3 linked regions of the Kluyveromyces lactis genome follow. The protein of the gene in region 3 interacts with the protein of the main gene of each other region in a biochemical or structural test. Links are inferred from orthologs where the notes say so. Each region holds a gene or a part of one and is shown on either strand. Other genes may lie near its edges.

The links.
Region 1: the proteins of NUP116 (region 3) and NUP192 form a complex in vitro, tested with the Saccharomyces cerevisiae proteins (2 studies listed by BioGRID). The link is inferred for Kluyveromyces lactis from reciprocal best matches to the Saccharomyces cerevisiae genes NUP116 and NUP192.
Region 2: the proteins of NUP116 (region 3) and ARX1 form a complex in vitro, tested with the Saccharomyces cerevisiae proteins (2 studies listed by BioGRID). The link is inferred for Kluyveromyces lactis from reciprocal best matches to the Saccharomyces cerevisiae genes NUP116 and ARX1.

The regions. Positions count from the first base shown.
Region 1 is NC_006041.1:1,034,749-1,039,239, forward strand, and holds the start of NUP192 (Nup192p), read left to right. Parts: upstream 1-1,471; coding exon 1,472-4,491. Other genes in the region: SRP102 (Signal recognition particle receptor subunit beta), read left to right, coding at 1-386; KLLA0_E11727g (uncharacterized protein), read right to left, coding at 534-779.
Region 2 is NC_006042.1:1,097,986-1,101,737, reverse strand, and holds ARX1 (putative hydrolase), read left to right. Parts: upstream 1-1,316; coding exon 1,317-3,032; downstream 3,033-3,752. Other genes in the region: PDA1 (pyruvate dehydrogenase (acetyl-transferring) subunit E1 alpha), read right to left, coding at 1-309; recombinase DMC1, read left to right, coding at 3,584-3,752. UniProt on the Saccharomyces cerevisiae protein: Probable metalloprotease involved in proper assembly of pre-ribosomal particles during the biogenesis of the 60S ribosomal subunit. Accompanies the pre-60S particles to the cytoplasm.
Region 3 is NC_006042.1:2,465,791-2,470,046, reverse strand, and holds the start of NUP116 (FG-nucleoporin NUP116), read right to left. Parts: upstream 2,801-4,256; coding exon 1-2,800. Other genes in the region: KLLA0_F26686g (uncharacterized protein), read right to left, coding at 3,557-3,796. UniProt on the Saccharomyces cerevisiae protein: Functions as a component of the nuclear pore complex (NPC).

The DNA of each region.
Region 1 (4,491 bases), on a different chromosome or scaffold from region 3:
CTAAGGAATTGGTCAGTACTGCAGAACTATTGTATGAAATATTATCTGTCACCGAATTAAGACCAGACGGAGTTGACATCTTGTTGGCATGCAATAAATCTGAGTCATTCGTGGCAAGACCTCCATCAAAGATCAAGGGTGCTTTGGAGAAGGAAATAACTGAAATCATGAAGAGAAAGGCCAAAAGTTTGAAGGCAAACTCGAAAAAGTCCTTGAGTGACGATGCTAATGACGATGATGACGATGAGGTTGCTGTTCTTCAACAAAACTCAGCCGGATTCGAATTCGATAGAATTGATGGGAATGTAGATGCTAAGGAGGGAAGCGTTTTGAAAAATGATATTGATAAGTGGGAATGCTGGATTGATGAACGTGCAATGAATTAGGCGATCTGCCTTGTTGCCTTTCAGGAATTTTTTTCCCATATTCATATATAGCACATTTAATAAAGCCATGTAATGAACTGTGAACGATTGCGATTTGTCATATCCTTTTCAGCCTTGTTGTTTGGTCATTGAATTTGAAGTTAAAGGTTAAGTATTGGTATGCGTTGGTTTGTCTCTTGTCTTCGGTACATCACTGCAATCATTCCATAACATTACAGCAACTGAGGTTCCAACGATTGAAGTTCCAAGTAGTAACAGTAATATAGGGATTCCAACTGCATATTGGCTAGATAATGGGAAAAGTGACACTTTTTGATCAAGATCAAATATAGGTAACAGTAACCAAACACAATAATAGATAAAGAGTGCTAAAATAATAGAAAAGGTCTTCATAGCTGCAGATATTAAAGTTCAAAATAAGAGCAAATGATCCTATTACAGTATGATATTGTTGCCATTCACTTCATTCAGTGGTAAAGATGCAATGTTGATCTCGAAGTCAGAAACTTTTAACACTACAAGGTGAGCGCGAAGTTCTCACACGGTATCCATTCAATTTTCCAACGACATAAATAAAGGTGGAGTAAATGATACGAGAGGAGGAGTCTGGTACTGTTCTAACTTCTTGTTGTCATAACAGTTGCTCGCGTGGCGTAATGGCAACGCGTCTGACTTCTAATCAGAAGATTGTGGGTTCGACCCCCACCGTGAGTGCTTTATTTTTAACCACTTTTTTTTAACTTAGAGAATGAAACCGCTACATCAGATCTAACATAACTGCACTTCAATATCTATCTGTTGATAACTAGCACGAGAATATCAGCTGTCACTCAGTACTTACAATATGTTTTTCATCTTCACTAGTGGTTGTGAAGGTATGTTCTCGATTCGCAAATGATGGTTACCCTCGTTTTACTTTTACTGTTGATAATTTGGTTCCATTATTAAAAATTTGAAGTAAATAATAGTAAATAAAATAAAGATATACTGAATTTACATCAGTAGGGCTGATCTAGTGATATCATCAACTGGAAGCTACGAAAGCCTGTACTGGTCGAAGTACTGTGTGACATATAAATTCAATAATGTGGGCACTTTCACCCTTTGCCTCCTTGTATGAATCCATACAGAAAGCTGATTTCCGTACCGATTTGTTCAATGAGTTTGTATCTGATTTGAAGACGTTGAATTTGACTGATAATGCTAAGAAAAATGCTGCTAAGAGACGCGAATTGGAATCCGGAGAAATTAAGCTATCCGATGGATCAGTGTACAAATTGAATCAGGAGTTCATAATAGAAGTAATCAAGATTTCCGATGAGCTAGATCTTGATGAAATTGTCTGTGCGGAACAAATATTAACTGCAGAGGACTCGTCCCAAGCTGTGGACCAGGACATATCTTTGCATAACAAGGGTCTACTGATATACTATCTCAGAAGACAATATATTTTACAAGTGGTGGCATACGTTTTGAATGCACTATCCTCTTCAGATGATGTTTTTCAAACACTTACCAGTGATGGGACTCTTTTAAACAATGTTTTGCAAGCATTCAACACAATCCATAAAGAACTAGAGGATGTGAAGGCACTTGTAAATAAGGCACAAATCCTTGATAATTATGATGTGGTTTCGAAACAGAATATTACGTTCAGAAGGGATTTCTTGATCAAAGAATATGACACGTTAGGTACTGTTCTTTTCGGTTTGTCCAAAAATAATCTACTCTCTAATGCAACGGTAATACAAAAGGTTATTGACCATGTTACATCGCTAGCCTCTGATGATTTTTTTATCATATTTTACCTACCTGCTATAATAAATACTTTCAAAAATTTGGCATCCTTCTCCTCCAGGGATGTTGAAAGTTTGCACGCCCAATTCCTCAGAGATTTAGAATCCGAATCAATATACACTAAACCCACCAAGGTTGTTCTCATCTTCATCTTCTTAACGTTCTTTATAGGCTGGTGCAAAGCTGAACCAACTACAAGAGCAAAGCAATTCGACTTCGCTGTTGCTGTAGACCTTCCAATGACTTCTGCAGTCGAATTGGGGGCAATCGAACAGTTGATGGTATACGCAGCAGAAACTTCGATGGTAGAAGCAGATAAAAGCATGGAGTTATTCTTTGACATACGGTCCTTGCTAGAGAAGCATATTCCAAGAATGTCACCAAAACTCTTGTTAGATCCAGAGTACTCAACCGCAGTAAGCACCAAAACTTATGTTGATGACCCTTCTACCAAATACTCAAATTTATCAATTTTCGACTATGGACTCGATAGCTTTCTATCCACTTTGCATGACTTCTTTCAAGCTTTTATTACAGACTGTGCATTCCTCTTGACAAAGATAAAAAATGCTGAGGAAGATTCTTTATTATCCGGTGAGGATCTCTATTTGGATGACATCTCAGCGAAGGCGGACCTAGAACGATTTTTCATTACCATATACTTCTTTTATGCATCTAGACCGGAATATTCAAGCTCTTTCTGGGATGACAAAGAGTCTAATCTCTATGGTTTCATAGAATGGGCTGCAAAATGTAACGATACTTTGATGAAAGCATGCTTTTACTTGATGATTTCCAGTTTGTCATATGGATCTCAAAATTCTCATAATGTTTATCATTATGTGGAGAGTAATCAGCATAGTTCCTGGAAATATATTGCACATAATATAAACGAAACAACCGAAAAAATTACACAACTTGAACAGAAGTTACAAGATCTCCAGCAAAACGGCGCAGCAACAAGTGAGATCAATGCGGTGGCAATTGAAAGTGGGTTAAGTGAAGAAACAATTATCCTGTTGTCTTCGTACTTTACCTTGGTTGAATCTATTGCATATAATGTTGATGAACAAATAAAATCGCAATTAGCTAACACATTCGAAGACATCCTCTTCAGTTTCCTCAAAGTAAGAAGTCCTTTACTAGGTGCAGCGCTAAAAGTATTAAGTCATTTGATCCCTAAGGAAGAAACTCAAAGGTACGGTTACTGGACCAAACTAGACCGACTCATTTTCAAATCATACCCGTTAGATTCAACAGATAGTTCCTATATTGCAGCCTTCAACTCAATTTTCACTGGCTACTCCGAAGTCTTAGGATTTTTGCAATTGTTCTCCAGATTGGTGTCTGTGGGAACAACTAATCATAGTAATGAGTATATGAAGTTTGGTAAACTAAGTTTTCCTGTGAATATTGGATATGGATATAGAAAGACAGGTGTATGGCCTTATTATGAGTATATTTTGGGTAATATTTTCTTGAATGATGAAAAGGCAGCTACCAAAGACCAGCAAACAGTCAAGAACGTTTTGGTTTTAGATATTATCAAATCTTCGCTTTTATCATTTGACTACAGCGTTATTTTGAACTCCGTTTCCGTCGGTTGTAATTTGGACTCGTTTGTACAGACTTCCGACTTCTATTCCTTTGTCCAACAATCCAATGCTACTGCCACAATGAACTACTTGTACAACGAAAAAGTGTTTTCAAAGATCTTCAAAATAGCCTCTATAGGAATAGATGAGCTGGAGAGTGAACTTGGGCGTATTTTGAAGCCGAAGTCGTTGATGGTCAGGGATTCACTATATATCATTGATATTATGCTAACACACGAAGGAACATATGCCGAGGAATTTTATCCTATAGTGAAACGCTGCTCTGATAACTCGGTGTTTCTACCCAAAAGTATCAGCATAAGAGGATTGCGTTTCTTCTATGACGCTATCTTCTTCAATCTTCCATTGACAGCTCACTTCGGTCTTTATGTTGGTAGCACTAATTTTGACATTTCTTTGAGCAGTATTAGCATTTTAAAGAAGTTAGCGACTAAATTGGACTCGGGAAATCCTAGAGGTCTCCACAAAAGTATATTATTGACGGTATTCGATTCTGTTGATGATTCTGCAAGAATAAAACAAAGCTTCATTGATCAACTAATGTCGCCTATTACCGATGAATGCTCATTGAAATTAAAGGTGAATATTCTAGATTTCATTAGCAAAAACTTGTCTTACACAGATCACAACACCACCATATCACATTTTCTTTTAGGGTATCAAGTGTCGAATACTATTTCATTGGGGCCAGA
Region 2 (3,752 bases), about 1.4 Mb from region 3:
ACAGAAACCTCTAATTTTCTTAGCCTTGTACAAAGCGTCACAGGCCATTTCCATTCTTCTAACGATAATCATATCCTTGTACATTTGTAGCAAATTGGACTTGGTGGTTTGATAACTTAATTCAGGAACATCCAAAAGATAACCTTCAAAAGAGGTTTCTGGCAAATCAATTTGAACTAGGTCATCATCACCTGGCTTAGTTTCATCAGCAACCTGGGACAAAGCACGGACGTTTTTAGAAAAGTTTCTAACCAATCTCAAAGAGCTGGACTTCCCAACCACAGAGGATTGAGCTTTCAAAGATAGCATGGTTTGCCTAATTTATTGTTCTTTTCGGTATTAACTACTATAGCGACCAACAATTAGAACACACAAATACACACTCAGCAGTAGTGATGGCAAAATATGTTGTATAGAGAAGAAATAAAGAAGAAGAAGCTCTGAGTTCCTGATTCTATATTAAAACAAAAAAAAGCCAACTAATGAACGATTCCTTGTTCCAAAAAATTTGACAAAAATCAATCAATCAATCAATCAGTCAGTCAATTAATCAATTGCTTGGCTCAGTATCACTGAAAGACCAAAAAAAGGTTCTTAATCACGCAACAACTGTTTCTCATCATATTCACAATTAAATCCGCCTTTAAATACTTGTGAACTTGGGAAAAAAACTTCAAAAAATTTCGTAGCCAGCCAGTCGGTATAGATAAGGGACTTGAAATAACAAGAAGTGGGTATAAGCAAGGTCAATTTTGCTCTAATTGGGGTCAAACTTGAACCGTTGGGTAGCTGATGATGCGGAGAGTATTGATATTCTACTTATTATGGGATATCTGACAGTTTCGTCTGGTGTAGGTAGAGTTTATTGTGCTGATTCAATTAGACAGACGGGATTGTTGTTAGAAAGAGTGGGAAAAGTGACGTGCACAGCGCGGTGTTTGGGTGGAACATGGGCAGCAGATCTATTACCCGGATAATATGCGGGTCATGAGTTCTAATGATACACATTACCCGAATATTAATACTTTTGGCGCACGTGATCAGAAAGTGATTTCTTTTTCATTCTCTTCTGATCGAGGTCCGGGTAATATTTTGGAAAATTTTTTGAAATATCTTAGTGCTGTGTGGCAGGAAAGGTTGTATCCAGGAAAGAAATTTGGAAAAAAAAAGTATCAGTGAAAACTTTAAAGCGATGAGATGAGATGAGGTAAAGAGAAACGAGGTACATACTTACATCATTATCATAGTGTATCGTTCCCTCCTTTGTATCAGAAAACAGCTAATACTAATAATTTGTGGATAAAATTATCCGTACTATGGCGTTACAAATCTCAAAGGAAGACACTCAGGTGTTATTGAAAGATAAGAATGTATTGATCGAACCAACAATTGAGAAATATAGAACTGCAGGTCAAATTGCTCAGACTGCTTTAAACTTTTTGATCAGTTTGATCAATAAGATGTATCATGAGAAGTCTATGGAGCCGCTACCGATTCATCAACTTTGTTTATTGACTGATTCGTTCATAGCCGATTGTTTAAGTACTAAGTTCAACAATAAGGTTAACGAGAAGGGAATCTCAATGCCAACTTGTATTGATATCGATGAAATAAACGAGAACTGGTGTCCTGAAGTGGATGACATCGAAAACTTGTCCCGTTGGAACCAAAAATCTAGATCTACCAAATCGATCGAGCTATGTAACGGTGTTACTTCTAGTTTGTCTGGGTTTTTGAAAGTTGGTGATGTCGCTAAGATCACTTTGGGTTGTCACATCGATGGGTACACTTGTAACGTGTCCCACACCGTGGTCATTTACCCAACCGTTCAGGATGCCCAATCTGGAAAATTGCTACCTGAAGCTGCTTTGCTAGGTGGTAAAGCTGATGCTCTAGCTGCCACCCATATCGCTGTTGAGTCCGTCACTAACTTATTAGCTGCTGCAAACGATTTGACCAAACTTCCAGCTGATTTCAACGCTACGAAGGTCACTGGTTCCTTGATTAGGACCGTAGTTGACACCATTGCTCAATCTTATAATTGTTGCGTTGTGCCTGGTTCTCGTATCAGAAGAATCAAAAGATTCCTTTCTGGTCAAAACGAAAATATCATTGTCGAAAGAGACTTCAAAGGTGTCATTTGGACTGAGTCTCATCAGGAAGCTGCTATGCTTGCTAGAACCGTCAATGAAACTGCTGTTGATGTCAAGCGTAAGAACCCATTTATCACCGAAGATACCGTGGTCCCAACAGATGATTTTACCGTTGTCAAGGGTGAAGTTTACATGATCGATTTGAAGTTGGCTCCATTGCAAGGATTGGAGCCAGGTTTGATCACTTTACACACTGTCGATCAATTCTCCGGTAAATCTGAATCCTCTGATGTGGTGGCTAGACCAGGTGCCATCTGCCGTGATTTTTCAAAGAGCCATGTTCTAAAGTTAAGAGCTGCTAGACAAGTGTTGACCAGATTGGATAAACAAGGTGTATACCCTACCAAATTAGCTCATATCGCTGATTCTTTCCCATTGGACGTACAGGAGCCTGATTTCGAAACCATCAAGCAAGAAATCAAGCCATTCAGATTAGGTCTTTCTGAAATTTCTAACAACTACCTAACAATCGACAGAGATGTCACCATCGTAAAACACGTTCCTTGGGCTAAGATCTTGGATCTAACAAACCCATCCGGTGTGTCAAGTTATGACGCCATGGCAAAGAATAAAGGTTTATACCCAGGTTTCGAGCTTCCTCTACCTAAACTAGGTTTGTCCAACCTACAGTTGAAATCCTTGCTAAAAAAACACTCTACGCCAGTTCCTGTGGTCCGTCAATGTGTCACTGTAGCCATCTGTGATGAAGAGTTGCTAAGAATCAGCGGAAACCTAAAATCTAACTGGGTTCATTCTGTTTACTCTATGGATACTGCAAGCAATATCGTTGCAGGTATATTCAAACTGGCTCAATTGTCCGAGGATAAGAGATTTGGTTTGAAGATCAGAGAAACTCAACCATGGAAAATGAAATTCTAATTTATTCATTACCAGTATTAACTACCTTCTTTGATAGAACTACTTCAACAGATAACAAATTCTATTTCATACACAAACACCCTTTTCGCATCTGCACACAATAACTCTACATTGATACACCAGTTCATATTATATTCAATACTCGTTTGATTTCGGTAGCCCAAGAGTCTTGTTCTTATGAGTCTTTATTCTTACCAACCAATTGCAACAAAAACAATGTATAAATAGCAACTTCTAAGTATCTTGTAGATCTGTACACTAGCAAAATCATAATAGAACTCAAGCTCTCAACTTTGTCATTAGTTCTTCTACTATTAGTGTGTTTGCTTCGGAAGGATTATCAAAACGTTCAAAATGATGGCGGCTAATTAGATTTTAGTATAAAAAGGATTTGGAGTCAGAAACCAAATCAACAAACCCAACTACCAATGAATATGACATAGCGAGATATCTAGTGCACATAACTAGGAGCGAGAAGGTGATCCTAAAAACCAATAACTTTGCATTTCATTCTACTTGAAACGTCCCATTCCATTTCTATTTAAGCTGTCATGTCTACAGAGACAGAAACTAAAACCAATGTGGTCAATATTGATGAGTTACAAAACTTCGGAATTAACGCGTCTGATATAACTAAATTGAAGACTGCTGGTATATTTACCGTTAACACTTGTTTGTCGACGACCAGAAGGAATTTGTGTAAAGTTAGAGGGTTATCGG
Region 3 (4,256 bases):
TCTGTTCCATTTTCTTTTGTGGTCCGTCGTCAGTATTGAAGATTATGAATTTCAATTCACCAGATGAGGTATCATCTTCTTCCATCTTTTGGCGATTGATGATAAGGTTTTTGAAAGACTTTTTGTCTGGATTAAAGAGGAGTTCTCCGGTAGTTAAAATAGCCTCATCAGTAGATGCAGTGAAAATTGAAGAATCCATAGGCTTTCTTGTTAGAGCAGTCGAACTAGTGTCTTCCTCCTTGGGTTTTGATAGTTTTAGATGAATTTTAACCTTTCTGGAGTTCGGTTCCGACTTTTTAGAGTCAAACAAGGGTTTTGGAAGCAGCTTGTATGCTGCGGAGAGGGAGTTCTTTTTCTTCAAGTCTGCAGAAACCATTGTGGCACTAGGCTTAGTTGGTTGAGTAATGGAATTAGGAATAGAGATAACACGGGAGAATAGCTCATCCGTACCATATGGATTGGAGTTCGCTTGTGCTGCTTGCTGCTGGTTTTGCATTTGTTGGTTTTGTTGCAAGGAAGATGAAGAGAATAAACCACCTGTATTTGCATTACCAGAAGTGTTGTTTTGTGATCCAAATAATCCTGTCGAACCAGTATTTGCTGGCTTATTCGCAGAAAATAAACTTCCGCCACCAATTGATGAGGCATTGTTCGTGTTTGTTGCGCCAAAAGGTGCAGTTCCGGCAGGTTTTCCACCGAATAATCCACCTCCAGTGGTACTACTCAAACCACCTGTTGGTTTAGTGCCGAAAAGGCCACCAGATGTTGACGCACTATCAGCTGGTTTGGCACCAAATAGACCACCAGTAGCCGTATTCTGCTGTTGTGTGTTGCCTCCGAATAACCCGCCGTTGGTAGCTCCTAAAGCGTTAGTGCCGGAAGGTTTGGCACCAAAGAGACTACCCGATGATTGACCTTGTTGCTGGTTGTTTTGACCAAATAGACCCCCCGTTGCTGTGTTGTTCTGGTTGTTATTTTGACCAAACAATCCGCTAGATGTATTCTGCTGCTGACTACTTTGGCCAAATAATCCACCAGTAGTTCCTGTTGGTTTTGCACCAAACAATCCTCCGGTGTTGTTTGCCATACTGTTGTTCTGCTGACCAAATAAACCACCGGTGTTAGGTTGCTGTGTTTGTTGGTTCTGATTACCAAATAACCCCCCCGTTGCAGACGGTTGATTACTTTGTCCGAACAATCCGCCAGATTGTTGTTGCTGATTATTTTGACCAAACAGCGCGGAACTACCACCCATTACAGTTTTATTTTGAGCTCCGAATAACCCAGTTGAACCTTGTTGACTTTGGTTGTTTGATCCAAACAGGCCACCGGTAGTTGGCTTCGCACCAAATAATCCTCCGCCCTGTTGATTCATGGAGTTGCTATTTTGTTGTCCGAAAGGACCGCCAGTGCTAGCTGCGTTACTTTGTTGTCCGAATAATCCTGTACTGTTTGTGTTAGATGGTTGTTGCTGTCCAAATAAACCTCCGCCAGTATTGGTGTTGTTTTGTCCAAACAATCCACCCGCCTGAGTATTGTTTACCTGACCGAATGGAGTAGAATTAGCAGCATTTTGTTGACCGAAAGGAGAGGGTCCGTTCTGTGCTTGCTGACCGAATAAACCGCCACCTGTAGTTCCACCTGGTTTTGATCCAAATAATCCACCTGAGGTGTTATTATTCTGACCAAATGCGTTATTGGCGTTACTTTGTTGACCAAAAAGTCCACCAGTATTGGCCGCTGTGGTGTTATTTTGTCCAAACAAACCACCCGGTTGATTGTTGGTGTTTGTTTGGCCGAAAGTGCTCCCAAAGGTGTTTGAACCAGTATTTTGACCAAATGCGTTACCTGGGTTTTGCTGTTGGTTTTGTTGACCAAATAATGAGTTGTTGGCTTGACCAAATGCGGAATTATTATTGGTGGTGTTTTGTCCAAACAGACCTCCAGAGGTAGCCGGTTTGTTTAAACCGAATGGAGAAGAACTTGAAGCAGTATTTTGCCCGAATGGAGAATTATTCTGCTGTTGTCCAAACATGCCAGTTTGCTGTTGCTGCTGTGGTTGGCCAAAGGGAGTGTTATTAGGTTGTGAAAATGCATTTACAGGCTGTTGCTGGCCAAAAGGTGAATTTGCAGGCTGTTGACCAAAGGGAGTTGCGCCACCTGCACTGATGGTATTTTTATTTCCTAAACCAAAAGTGTTGTTAGTACCATTTGTCTGTTGTTGACCGAATGGCGAAGCAATAGCAGAAGCTGTCGGACCTCCAGCAGTGGTGCTAAATTTCCTATTTTGTTGATAATCTTGGAACCTCAACTCTTCAAACGAATAAAGGCTATATTCAGGCATACAAGTAATAGATTGAAACACCGATGGATATCCAGTTGACACATCCTTTTCCGTATAAGGTTGGAATGGCTTGATTCCAGTGCCAGAAGGAGGTCCAGAAGAGAGAACGCCTGTCGCTGTACCACTAGATTGGCTACCACCAAACAGGGATGGTGGGTTCGACAATGAATTACCTGCTGCTGCTCCTGCTGCTGCCCCGCCAAACGGAGAAGTAGTTGTATTTTGCTGTTGTGACATACCGAATGGGGAATTTATAGTTTGCGTAGGGTTTGTATTAGCGCCGCCGGTACCAAACCCACCAAACCCTGATTGCGCGTTGTTGGCAGAGCTGGATCCAAACAGATTGTTTGTGGTTCCACTATGCTGTTGACCGAACGCATTGGTTGTTGACTGAGTTTGTTGGCCAAAAGGAGAAGTACTCGTCTGTCCAAATGCCGGTCGAGAAGCACCAAACATCAGTGGGTCAGGAAATCAAGTGAGGTGACAATTGATGAAAAAGCTGACTAGGAATAAAATAATATGTCCTTCAATGACACAAGTAATCTCTAAGTAGATAATACCAAAGTCGTAGCGTTTTGGTTCAATGGTATTTTTCTGAGAAATAATTTAAAGATGAGTGAGTGTCCTTGTTCTCTGATTGTGAAAGAAGAAACACACTAATCAATTAACGATCTATAAAAAAATTTCCCACTTTACGCACTGTATGAATACTTTTATTGGTCTCAGTTGCTGATAGTATGACTGAAAGACAAATACGACAAATCATATAAGCCGAAACATTGCTTGCATCAACTTAGAAAACGTTAGTTCTTTATCATCAATTAGTTGTTTACTTCAAGGATAAAGAAATTTTCAGAGGTGAGGGATGACCTAAAATCGTATTAAGTGACATAGCGTACGTAGTGATACGTAGTTTTGGGGGATTGTGATGTAGCAGTAATTACTTGAGCACAAGGGAACAGCTGCTAATGCAATTCTGAGTTGGCTCCCTGTTTGAAACACTTAATTCCAATATGTTATATATAATGAATTCCGTCTGTTAAATTACCCAAAAAGTATATATGTTCTATATAGTCGAAAGAAATGAAAATAAAATGAGAGATAAAGCCAGGCAGTAAAGGCATTAAAAGATGCATCTCTCTGGTATGCAAATCTTCGGTAGACACAATAAAGTAGATGTGAAACCCCCTTATTGGCTTTAATACCATAGCGTCATAGGCTCTCTAGGCCATTCATTACCTCATTCATAAGTAGATAATTCTTCAAATTCCTGGGCTTTAACGACCCTGTCGTTAAATCCACGATCAAATCTTCCTCTTCATCAGAATCACAATAGTCTTGCTCTAGGTCTGGAGTCGATCTGGGAACTGAATTTAAACTTTTGAAGCATTGTACTATCACCTGGGAAACCTGCTGCGTATCTTTGGCTTTTCCAAAATTGTCTGTGAACATTGTTGAATATTGTCAAACGGGGACGCTAATGGGTATATTGTAGTAGGCGCTTGTTAAGCCTATTCGGAGGTCGGTATCCTGTGTTACTCCTTATTATGAGACGTCTTTCTTACACTTTTTAACTTATCAATACAAGATACAGACAACCTCGAATCTATTACATAGGCCTTGTCAACAACTGAAAGGTTATTCCTTATATATATATAACCTCCATAAAATATACTACAACAAGATAACAATAACACACTAACAAATTGTGGTTAAATCTCTGAAACAAAATGGACCACTTCTGTGGGCAAAGGAATCAAAAGGCAGCCCGTTAATGTGCGTTATCATTTGACACTTTCACAATAACCTCTCAGCAGGAACTTCAAACACCGATCTTTTCATCAGCCTAAGTGAAAGTACCGCAATAAAAAGTGTGGCTTTCCACTCATTCCTCAACAGAGCATGTGACATG